Linked DNA regions of Struthio camelus. The protein of the gene in region 1 purifies or fractionates together with the protein of each later gene. This does not show direct contact. Links are inferred from orthologs where the notes say so. Each region holds a gene or a part of one and is shown in the gene's direction. Other genes may lie near its edges. The genes, in order: DCP1A, PNRC1 and EDC4.

Region 1 (3,745 bases):
GTGACTGTGCTCCAAATACGCTTTAGGAATATTTAAACAATCTGCTGTGTGAAAAAGAAAAAGAGTTTGCACAACTCCAAAGAGTAGAGCAGGGAGCAATAGAAAGACCCAGTCATGCTGTCACAAGCAACTGAAGGGGTAAAAAAGGGTCTTATTATTTAGCCTATTTGAACATTAATTTGTATCAAACAGATTAACAGTACTTAAGGTATAAACCAGCATGTCCTGTCCTGTAAAACCTCAGCTGAATAACTGAAATACAGAACATAATGTTCTCTTCACTTGTTGAAACACAAATGGAATCTGTCCCACTCACAGAGAAAACATCAGAAGGGCATTATCTACATCATCCCACTTCTGTCTGGTTTAGCGCAAGAATCAGAAATAGTGAGAGATGAACATTTCCCCAGCACTAACTGCTGAGTAACTCCAAAGAAGGACAAAGATATCTGCAAAATATAATAGTCATAGAACAAGCCTAAATGGATATAACTAACATTTCAGTTTACACTGAGGTCAAAGTTTGAGGCTAAGTATATGTTATACTTTGGTGTACTTCAAGGTTGAGGAAGCAGATGGTAGGCCGTATGACTCATTTCTGATATAAAATATTTCATTCTAAGGCAATAGCAGTGAAGAAGGGCAGAGAGAATACATTCTCTGTAAGGCAGAATTGGAATTAGCAGATGAAGGAGGAAAACAATCCATAAGCGGAAACCACCACTTGTTTTTGTTATCAATGCTCCTCATGCTTCACTTTTAATTCAAGACGCAGCCAAGGAGTTTTCATGCTTGAGAAGATCTGGCACAGCAGAAAGCTGTCCTTTGTCAAGAAGTTTCTTACTTTGAAATATATCTTTGCTTTACAGTAGTCTTGCTTGAGTCTGACTCAAAAGAAAGGAGTAGATTGGTGCAGGTGTTAAAGATGCCATTTAAAATAAAATGTTAAAAGGTTTTTGTCATTTTGTTGCTGTTTCACTTGAGCCCTTAGAATGTTGAACACCCTCTTGTTAAAAAATTTTCAAATGTTAACTTCTACATACTATCTTTTCTCAAGTTAGAGTGTTACTGAATAGTAATTGGACATTTTACATGAAGATATTTTTAACATTATGCTAACTGTCATTGTTTGCTCTTTGATGAGAACAGCTTTACACACTTTACTAACAGAACCAGTGAAAAGCCAAATTTTATGGAATAGATCATGCCCTCCTGTGGTAAAAATCATTAGAAGGGGATGAAAGTTTCATAGAACTCTCTAAGACATATCATATGATTTTTATGATTTTTTTTTTTTTACTGATGCTTAGGTCTAAGGATTCAGCTGTGAGTTATTGGAATGAGCTACATGGGAATTTTTTGTCCAAACTTCACTTTTTTTTTTCTAAAAAATGTCTGCTTACTTTAAATTAGAACTATTTAACAACAAAAGACATAAATTAATGTTCATTCCAAGAAGCTTTACTTTTACGGAAAAAAATGATACCGGAACTGGGCCTGTCCATTGTTCATGAGGAAGATGTTTTATTGAGCCACAGACCTGCTGGATCATTGCTGATGCTTGTGCATTAAGCGTCTGTCATTGCGGGAGAAGTCTAAACTGAAAAGCTAATTGAATTAAAATCAGGAGTGTGTCTGCCTGCAACGAAGAACATGACCTGGTAATACAGAGCTTAGAGGAACTTCCTTGCATTCCCAGAAGGGTCAGAAAGAAACCATCTTGCCACAAAGATGGTTTTGTTTCGAAATTTACAATGCTGTTTTATTCCTGTCAGATTGCACAAAATGCTACCAAGTGTAAATCCCTGTGATATTGTTTTGAATGTTATTCATGTCTTGGTCCTAAGTGTATATTTTATACTTTCCTGTTGCTAAAATATCACTTACGATTAAAAAAAAATTGCAGGAACAAAGCTGAGAGAGCACAGCATGTTACCTTGTCATTGCTCCAACATTACTTGCGTACAATTTGTACCACATACGCGAGTTGCTATGTCTACTATACCTGAGAAAATTGAAAGTTCTTAATTCCAAAATTCTTTTAACATATTGGAAACTCCAAGTCCTGCTGCAGACTGTGAAGCATTCGGACACCAGCTAATGGTGAATAGCTGCGAGAAGCGTGGGGAGCCCCCGAGGCAGAGACCGCAGCTCTGCGCGCCACCCGCCGTCGCCCTCCTCAGCAGGCTCCGCTCCCCGACGGCGCCCGCCGCAGCGGACGCCCGGCAGGAACAACCTCCCACCCACCCGCTTCTCGGCTGCGTGGCCCAGGGAGAGCGGGAGGGAACAGACACCACCGACCACGGGGAGGTCGCTCCGCCACCCCATGACCCAGCTCGCAGCCCCTCGCGCGCTTGCCTGCCGCGAACTCAGAAGCCTTCATACTAGTAACGCTAGCAAATAAATGACAACGATAGAAACAATGACCGCTCACAGCGGGTGCAACGCGGAGACCTTTGCTTAACCTGTCCCATTGCCATGAAGAAACGCCCAGGCGTGGAGAAACAGCTCGGAAGAAGACGGTGGGCTGCAAATGCAGGGCAGCGGGCCCGAGGGGACAAGGCACGGGGCTCGGCCGGGGCTGGAGGTCGGGATCCCTCCGTGCCGGGAGGGCTGGACCCCCTTCAGCCATAGCGCCGGGGGGGCCCACCCGGGGCACCCGGGGCCCGAGGGGATCCGGGCCACCTGCTCACGGCCCCAGCGCTGGGCTGGCGGGGGCGCGGGGCAGAGGCCTCCGGGACACGGCGTACGGCAACCGAGGAAACCCTCGGTGCCTGCGGACGGACATACGGGAAAGCTCAGAGATGCCCCCTTCTAACTGTTGGGTGTCAGCTGAACGTTAACCCTCAAACTTGAAAAGCGTTTTCATTTTTAAGCCAGACGGCCCAGGCCCTGCAGTTCAATGGCAGTCGGGTCAACGTGTACCCTTCCACAAACGGCAGTGTCATCGAGTGGTCAGAGCGCCCCCAACAAAACCCGAAGGCGGCGAGCACCGAAGGCTCGAGGCTTATTTCCGGGCGAAGGAGGCGGCGGGGGCGGCCGGGCACGGAGCGGAGCGGAGCGGAGCGGAGCGGAACGGAACGGAACGGCGCGGCGCGGCGCGGAACGGCAGGCGCGGGGCCGGCGCTCCGGCCGGCGGCGGGGACGGGTGCGCCGGGGACGCCGCGCCGCCGTTTCTTGCCCGCCCCCGCGGTTGCTGCCGGGATCCAAGATGGAGTCGCTGAGCAGAGCGGGGCAGGAGATCAGCCTGGCGGCCTTAAAGCAGCACGACCCCTACATCACCAGCATCGCCGACGTGACCGGCCAGGTAGCGCTCTACAGCTTCAGCCCCAAGGCCAACGAGTGGGTAAGTGAGAGGCAGCGGCATGAGCGGGGGAGGGCGGCAGCGGGCGGCCCGGCCCGCCGCGGCCGTTGGGAGCTGCGGGGGGGGGGGCTCCGGCCGCCCGTGCCCGCCCCGGGCGGCCCCCCGCCGGGGACGGCGCCGGCGCCTTCGCCTCCGCCCTGGGCCGCTGCTGCCGGGGGGAGGTTTGAGCTGCCGGTGCCTCGCCGCGGCCTGCCGCCCGCCCCGTTTACACCCCAGGAGATGAGGGGAAGGCGCATCTGCCTGCGGGACAGTGGTGCTCCTTCAGGCCTCCTCGGCTCGTGGGGGCTGTTGCCGGATTGCCTTTTTTTTTTTTTTTTTTTCCCAAGTGTGATCTTTTGTTTTTGTTCTTAATGGGTAGTTCAGAGCCTTAATGTGGGGAGA
Region 2 (3,745 bases), on another chromosome or scaffold:
GATGCAGCCCACGCTGAGAGCCGTCAGGGCCTGCAGGCCGCAGTGCACGTTGCGCAGCAGCTCGTCCACCTGCGCCGCCACCTGCCCCGCCAGGGCCACCACGTCCTGCAGCGCGCCGGGGTCGATGGCGGGGATGGGCCCCGCCGCCGCCGCCGCCTCGCCCCGCGGGGCGCCGCTCAGCCGGATCCGCCGCTCCAGGTTGTTGGCCACGAACTGCGTGAGGCGGCCCTCGCGCAGCACCGTCCCCTCCAGCTCCAGGGCGCTCGCCAGCGTCGCCCGCCGCCCCTCCGCGGCGGCCGCCGCCGCCGCCTGCTGCTGCTGCCGCGCTGCCGCCGCGCCGCCCGCCAGGCTCAGCGCCTCCAGGCTCCGCTCGTCGCGCCGCGCCGCCGCCGCCGCCCCCTCGGCCGGGGCCGGGGCCGGGGCCGGGATCGGGGCCGCCGCAGCAGGCCGCAGCACCGGCACCTCCATCCCCTGCAACGCGCACCCGCCTCCCGCCGAGGGGCGGGCCGCCCCGTGTTTACGTCCTCGCCGATTGGCTGCGCGGCGGCGCGGAGGTGTGGCCTAACCTGCCCGCGCGCCGCCCGATTGGCCGGTCGCTCTCGAAAGGAGAGCAGTTCGTTCCGTCCCTTCGCTTCGCGCTGTGGGCCTGTGACTCGGAGACTGGGGCGTGTCCGCTGTTTGTGTCTGCCCGGATTGGGCGGCGTACGGAAGCGGGCGTGTCCCGAAGTGTTTGTGTCGCTTCTGATTGGCAGAGGCGGGGCCACAGAGGCTGTCGTTTCCCTGCGATTGGCGGTATCCAGCGGAGGGGCGTGACCCTTGCGCCTTCCTCCCGCGGCGATTGGCGCGGGGGCGGAAGGGGGCGTGGCCGTCTCGTGTAACAACACTGGGGCGCTGCTGCCTGCTCCTCTCACTCCCCCGCCATGTTCTCCTAGCAGCGGGTCTGATCGCGCCACCATCTCAGCCCACAAAGCCCAGGTGGACACTCCCTAGCGACCCGAACTATCCATCCCTGCCTGGGCTCGACCCCTCTCCCCTCTACAGCTCTGGGTACCCACAGCTCACCATGGTCACCACCACGGCGCCGCCGCCCTTCCTGGCTCGGATCTCGGCAGGCACCGAAGACCCCAGGCGGCTGCCCTCGACTCTACTCCAGCACCTCAGGCGAGGGGACAGCAACTGTGAGAACCAGCCCAGCTGCTGCCTGGCGGGTCCGGGGGGCAGCGCGCGGCCTGCGCTGAAGAGAGTGAGGCGGAGGAAGGGAAAGATCCGGCCCAGCCCCGCGGGGCTCCTGCCGAGCCGCTACCAACAGTACCAACAGCATCGCGCCGGCCTGGGGAGAAGGACCCCGCTGGGAACACACGGCCCGGGCGAACTTCGCCCTCCCCCTGCACCAGCTGTCTCCGCCGCCCCCAGCATGGTAACGAGTCCCCCCGAGGAGCCCCCTGCGCCCGCCCCTTCCAGACCAGCGTCCAGCAAACCCCTCAGGAAGGAGGTACAGAAAGGGCTCCGCTACTTCCATTTACTTCTCCTGTTCCTGCTCGCGCACTCCGAGACGGGAGACTTGTTTTGTCCCCGGCGGCAGGGGTGGGCGAGCTGCGCCCCCCCCCGCGCCGTGTGTGTGTGTGCGCGCGCGCGGATGGACGGGCGGGCGGGCGGGGCGGGGCGGAGGTGGGCGCAGAGTTTCCGTTACGCTCGCTCGGCGGGCGGGCGGGGGGGGGTGGGGGAGGAGTTGCAGGCGGCGATTGGCTGCTTGGCTCCACCAATCAACGCGGCCGCTGCGCCCAGCAACAGCCGGATTTAGCTTGCTGGCCGGGCGCCAGCGAGCCCTGCGCGCGCAGGCGGGACGTGCGAGGGGCGTAGCGCCCCATGGCGGCGGGCGGGCGCCCCCGCGGAGAAAGGGAGAGAGCTCCGCTACCCCCCCCCCCCCGGGGCCGCCTTGAGGCTGACGAGCTAGCGGCGGCTTCTCTGCGCCGCCGTTGGGGTGGCAGTCGGTCTCGCTTTGCTGTGCGTCGAGAGAGGCAGGCGAAGGGCGTCCCGGGAACGCCTTTGCGAGCCCTGGCGGAGCCCCCCCCCCCCCCCCCGCTGGCACTCGTGTGCCTTAGCGCTGCCGGAGGCCCCTGTTGAGGAGGGGGGTCGTGCCTTGACGTGAGTTCTTTGTCTCCGCAGTTCTTAAAGAACAAGATGGGAAAGGCTGAGAAGGCTGCCGCCCCCCACAGCCAGCCTGTTCACGGTATACATCTGTGTGAACAACCAAAGATTAACAGGCAGAAGAGTAAATGTAACATGCCACTAACAAAGATCACCTCTGCAAAAAAAATAGAGAACTTCTGGCAAGATACTGTGTCGCCCGAAATAATTCAAAAGCAGGAGAAAAAGCCACTTAAAAACACAGAGAACTTCAGAAATGCAAAGTCCAAGAAACCTATCACCCTAACTGAAGCAAGCCAAAAAGAAAACTATGCTGGGGCAAAATTTAGTGACCCACCATCTCCTAGTGTCCTTCCAAAGCCTCCCAGCCACTGGGTGGGTGGCAGTGCTGAACCTTCTGACCAAAACAGGGAGCTGATGGCAGTCCACTTGAAAACTCTCCTAAAAGTTCAAACATAGTTTCCGAGATCTCTGGGTAGTAGCAAAGAAAAGTCCATCCAGGAAACTCAAACATGCCTTGTTGCAACATGAATTGCAAAAGACTGTCAAGTCTTATAATCACATTTAAAAAAAAAAAAAACTTGTATTATATTTTTTATGGTTGTGTAAATAGTGTACATCATGTATTATGTGTATATTCTTGTTCATACTTCGAGAGGTACATTTTAGTTTTGTTATGAAAGGATGTATTTTGCACTGCCTGAATGGTAGATGTCTTGTATATAAAATATGGACAATTTTAAATGTGTGCTTGGCACATGAAGACTTGACTTGATTTGCACAAGGTGTTGAAGTTTTGAAAGGAGAGTACAGCTTTCTGGTATTAAGGTTCTAGATCAAATGTGAATGGTTTATTCATGCACTACTGATAATAATTTTACATTCTGTGGCCCAATCAAGTATAAACATGGAATTTTCATGCAAATGTGAACTTTTGCTCTCTGCTCTGGAAACAGTGTCTGGAATTCCTGGTCATCTGTTTGTTGTAAAATTACCTGGAATTTGAGTAAAATTCCAACCCATCAACTTGAGCACTGCTGATTTCTTTAAAGGGAAAAAAAGAAAAGAGCAGAGCTCTCTGCCAAAAATATAATTGGTTACGAAAAATTGAAATAAAACAATTTGGCCTCCCCTTAAGCATGTCTGTATGTTTTTTTTTTTTGTTGTTGTTGTTTCTAATGCTCTTAATTCAAATGTTTGAACTTAAATTATATGATTACTTTTGTTAGGGCATAACTAAATAAGATGAATTTTTATGTCCTTCTCATGACCTTTAATTATCTGAAGAGTTAAGAGGTTTGATAGCCCATCAAGAATCCCATGGGGTTGTCACAATATGTTGCCTTTGAGATGTATCATTTGAGAATCCCTAATCTTGTTTCTTGACAATGCAGATTTCGAGACAGTTCGGGAATTAAGCATTCAAATTTCCATTGGAATGCTACTTAACTGCTCTCATATTAAGTGATCATTAAAGTACCGATAAAGTACTGATGCCAAAGAGCAGCAGTGAGAAAGGCATGGGGAAAGTTCATATTTTTTTCACCAAATTTCTCTTTTGGTGAAAGCTATCCTTTGAGCTTGTAAAGGAGGACTG
Region 3 (3,745 bases), on another chromosome or scaffold:
TCCACTATGTGAAAATAGTCCTTTGGTGAGTTCAAAGAGCTAAGAGAGAGGTTTAGTTTCCAGGAATGCTACATGTTGCCAGTGTTAGTTTAACAGCAAATCTAAAATGAAAATTCTTTAAACCCTTAAAACTTCTTTGAAGTTATCCCATGCAGTTGTAACTGGCTATAGGGGGAGGAAGTGGGCCATAATAATACTTTTCCACAATAGTACTTTTTTTTTCCCCTCCTTTCTCCACGGAGTCATTCATTCCTGGTTCCTTACCTGGAGGAAACAAATGCCAGTGTTTCTGAATCAGTATTGCTTAATGCTTTCAGATCTGCAGGTCACTTTTGAGGCCTGTGATATGTGAACAGGTTTGCTGCCTCTTAACTGAATGCTTCTTTCTTGTACCCTTGTCTCGGTGCAAGTGTTAGACTGAGCCCTGAACAGTCATGTTCCAAGTTAGGGGGCTTCTTGGAGAGGTGGAGATAGCTGCCTGTAGTTGGAGAAAGGGAGCATTACATGTGATGGGTTTTTTTTTCCCCCAAATGACCTGTCTCACCCCTTTCAGAGCGAAACTTCTGGAACCCTATCATGGTATTGCATGCAGTTTGGTTGGAATTTCATACTGGCTTTGAAACTAGTGCTATTCATAGCCACATTAAAAATATGTCTTAAGAAAACTCTGAATGTGGTTCTTGAAGGCAACAGGTAATCTACTTTGCAGGGAGCTATGTGAGGATAGGGAAAGGAGGAACATTTTCCTCTTCAGAAGAAGGGGATGACTTGCTTCTCTTCTCTCCTACTTAATATCTGCCTTTTAATCGCCTGAAGAAAGCGAGGCCCAGCCCTGCTCCTCCAGCTCCTCCAGGTGAGAGGAGCAAGGGTGAAGCCTGGCCCGGAGTCACGAGTGTCGGGGTGGGGGGGTACCTGGGGCCCCTGGCGGCAGCTCCCCGGCCCCTGCGCGGCCGGGTCGGGCACCTGTCAGAGCGGGGACGAAGGGAACTCGCTTCAGCCCCGCCCGCTGGAGCAGCGCCTGGGGGCCGCCGGCGGCCCTGGCCCGCGCTGTCTCCCCAGGCGGCAGCAGCCCCGGGGCGGGGCTGCTCTGCCCCTGCCGCGCCCGGAACGCGCCGGCCCGGCGGAGGTTTCCGCCCGGTGCTTCAGCAGCGGGACCGGAGGCGGAAGTGGGGGCGGCGGGCTGGGGTAGGTAGGGGTAGCGCGGCGGCGGTTGCGCGGGCTGTGGCGACAGGAACCGGGCTGGCCCCATGGCCTCCTCCTCTAGCATCGACATCGAGGACGCGACCCAGCACTTGCGGGATATCCTCAAGCTGGATCGGCCGGGAGGTGAGGGGACCGGGGCCCGAGGGGGCGCGGGGAGGCCGCTGCCGGTGGGCCCGGTCGCCGCTGTCGCCGCCGTGGCGGTGCCGGCCGCAGGTGTCAGGAACCGTGCTATCCTGCCCCAGACCTGCACCACAAACCTCTGCTCAGCCACTTGGCCCCGTTGGGGGGGGGGGGGAGGGAAGCACCTGTTCGCGGCCCACAGTGCGCTGTAGCTTTGCCGTCGTTGTTGCTCAGGGCCCTCCGTCTCGAGGCCGGGCCCTACCCGTAATTTGGGCCTCGAGCCCCACGCGACCGGAGCAGCACTGCCGTATGGTGGCCGCTGCCTGCCCGCCTTGCGCTCACTGCTGGGGCACTAGTGGCATCATTCTCTGTAGCTCGGGGTGGCTGGCTCCATCCCTCTGAGGTAAGAGCGAGGGTGGTCAGGGAGTCCCACTTGCCCTGAATCTTTTGCCAAGGAGCACAGACTTTAGTGGCAAAGTTTGTACCAGCTGGGTAAGGAGAGGACCCCAGTGACTGGTAGCTCAAATAAAATCCAGAGCAGGCCCTCGCTTACAAGAGACAGCATCTGTTGCTGAACAGGGCCTGGAAGCCGTGTGGACGCAAAGCTCACTTTTTCTAGTGAGCTCTAGTGATTTCTGAATTCTCTTTTCTAAGAGGTGTCGTTGTCTCTGAGTAGGTCAGCACAGTTCAATTCTCCACTCAAGTCTCTCTCCTTTGTTAAAAAAGTTTTGAGGTCTTTGAAGTTTTCTTACTGGACTGAGTGGATGGGGCTATTTGGTCTCTCTGAGATTGGCACTGTCCTCACCCTTTTCAGTCCCTTTTTCATTTGAATGTAAAATGGGCTTCGTGTCATAAACATCTCTCTAAAAGCAGTGGTGAATCTTCTCCCTTTGCTTTGAGCGATTATACTTCTCTGCTCTGAGTTCAGTGGATCAGTCAGTGTCTTTCTACCCATGAGAAATATCTGTAGTAGACGGCAATGGTCTTAGCAGTCAGCTGTATAAAATGTGTTCCAACTCCCTTTTAGCATAGTATCTCTCTCTCAACCCCCCAACATAGCTTTTGGACCTTCTGGACTGTTTCAGTCTAACCTGGTAGGGTAGTGAGCTGAAGAAGATTGTTCCTAGATGTTTTGCAGAAGCATAGTGTATGGATAGAGAACAGAAATTATGCCCTCTTCCTTTTCCCTCATTGAGAGCATAAAGAAGAGCTTCATTTTTTAAGTGTCCTGAGAGACAACACCCAGTCTGTCAGTACAAATACACTAATGCCAAGGCAACTACTGTATGTGCTGTCTTTTGCTTGGTCAAAACGATGAGAGGTTGGATGTAGGATTGTTGTGAGGGAAGTGGAGGCACATGGGGTGACAGATGCAAATCTGTCGTAAGCCAGGGTTTGTTAGTTTTGGTGTCCATAGAGAAACTTCTAATTAGTTGAAGTAGTTTCTCTTATTTTTGGAACACTTAGATTCCCCAGGATTTTAATACTAATAGTGTAAAAATACACTTCTCCTTTATAGTGCAAGGCTTTGTACTTGAAAGATTGAAAGGAGAACTCAATGCTGTGATGGGGAGTGTTTGTTTCATGAGCAATTCATGAACTGGAAGGATGTGTCGTAACTGGGAAATGGTTGAAGTTGTTCTCTCAAGGTGACTTGACTTCCCCCTGAAGCAGCTTCTCTTGCTGTTAGAAGCAAAGGAATTGGTCATTGAGAATGGCTTATATCTTTTCATTTTTCTTCTTTGAAATTGATTCCTGTCCTTTGCATCTCATTTTCTTTATACCTTCTCTGTCAACTCCAGCGCATGAGAAAGTAGTTAGGAGGAAAAGGAGTGAGTGGACTGCGAGTCAAGCAGTAACGCGCCTGTATTTGTGCTCAGCAGGAAGTGTTGCCTGTGTAGCAGCAGAGACTTTAAAGAGCTGGACAAAATGAAGAGCAAGAGTACTTGTTTGTTAACTGAAAGGCTCTGAAAGGCCTATGAACACAACAAAGGGAAAGGGAAATTGAGGGATTGATTCATCAAAGCTTTTGAATAGAAGCAGTGCCATGAATTGCATGTGAAGGGCTAGTCTTGTCTGGCATAACAGCTGCTGCTGTCAAGATCCTCTCCAGTTCTAGTTTCTGTTATTCGTAGCATTTACAAACTAAAATACCCCACAAAGAATAGTGTAGCTGCTTTCCAAGCCTCTGAACAGTAAGAAAGTTTTGCCTTGCAGTTATGAGCAGTATTATGTTATTCTAGGTGCTCTCCGAGCACGTGACGAGATGCTCCCTGCTCCAAAGAGTTTGCAGCTATTGTAACACTTTCTTTGTTCTGCTGTTTTTGGTGGTTGTGAAAATGCAGTTCCTCACCTGTACCCCATCTCTCTTGATAGAGGTTTTACTTGATTTCAGTGTATATCATTCAGAACTTCAGTAGCT

What was found.
Region 2: the proteins of DCP1A (region 1) and PNRC1 purify together in Homo sapiens (affinity purification with mass spectrometry; 3 studies listed by BioGRID and IntAct, with this or other methods). This does not show direct contact. The link is inferred for Struthio camelus from reciprocal best matches to the Homo sapiens genes DCP1A and PNRC1.
Region 3: the proteins of DCP1A (region 1) and EDC4 purify together in Homo sapiens (co-immunoprecipitation; 9 studies listed by BioGRID and IntAct, with this or other methods). This does not show direct contact. The link is inferred for Struthio camelus from reciprocal best matches to the Homo sapiens genes DCP1A and EDC4.

Annotation. Positions count from the first base shown.
Region 1 is NC_090955.1:17,446,198-17,449,942, forward strand, and holds the start of DCP1A (mRNA-decapping enzyme 1A), read left to right. Parts: upstream 1-1,507; 5' UTR 1,508-2,902; coding exon 2,903-3,346; intron 3,347-3,745. UniProt on the Homo sapiens protein: Necessary for the degradation of mRNAs, both in normal mRNA turnover and in nonsense-mediated mRNA decay. Removes the 7-methyl guanine cap structure from mRNA molecules, yielding a 5'-phosphorylated mRNA fragment and 7m-GDP.
Region 2 is NC_090944.1:49,907,780-49,911,524, forward strand, and holds PNRC1 (proline-rich nuclear receptor coactivator 1), read left to right. Parts: upstream 1-886; 5' UTR 887-887; coding exon of another isoform or gene 888-956; 5' UTR 957-1,063; coding exon 1,064-1,492; intron 1,493-2,166; coding exon 2,167-2,607; 3' UTR 2,608-3,285; downstream 3,286-3,745. UniProt on the Homo sapiens protein: Nuclear receptor coactivator. May play a role in signal transduction.
Region 3 is NC_090951.1:24,310,217-24,313,961, forward strand, and holds the start of EDC4 (enhancer of mRNA-decapping protein 4), read left to right. Parts: upstream 1-1,107; 5' UTR 1,108-1,247; coding exon 1,248-1,326; intron 1,327-3,745. UniProt on the Homo sapiens protein: In the process of mRNA degradation, seems to play a role in mRNA decapping. Component of a complex containing DCP2 and DCP1A which functions in decapping of ARE-containing mRNAs. Promotes complex formation between DCP1A and DCP2.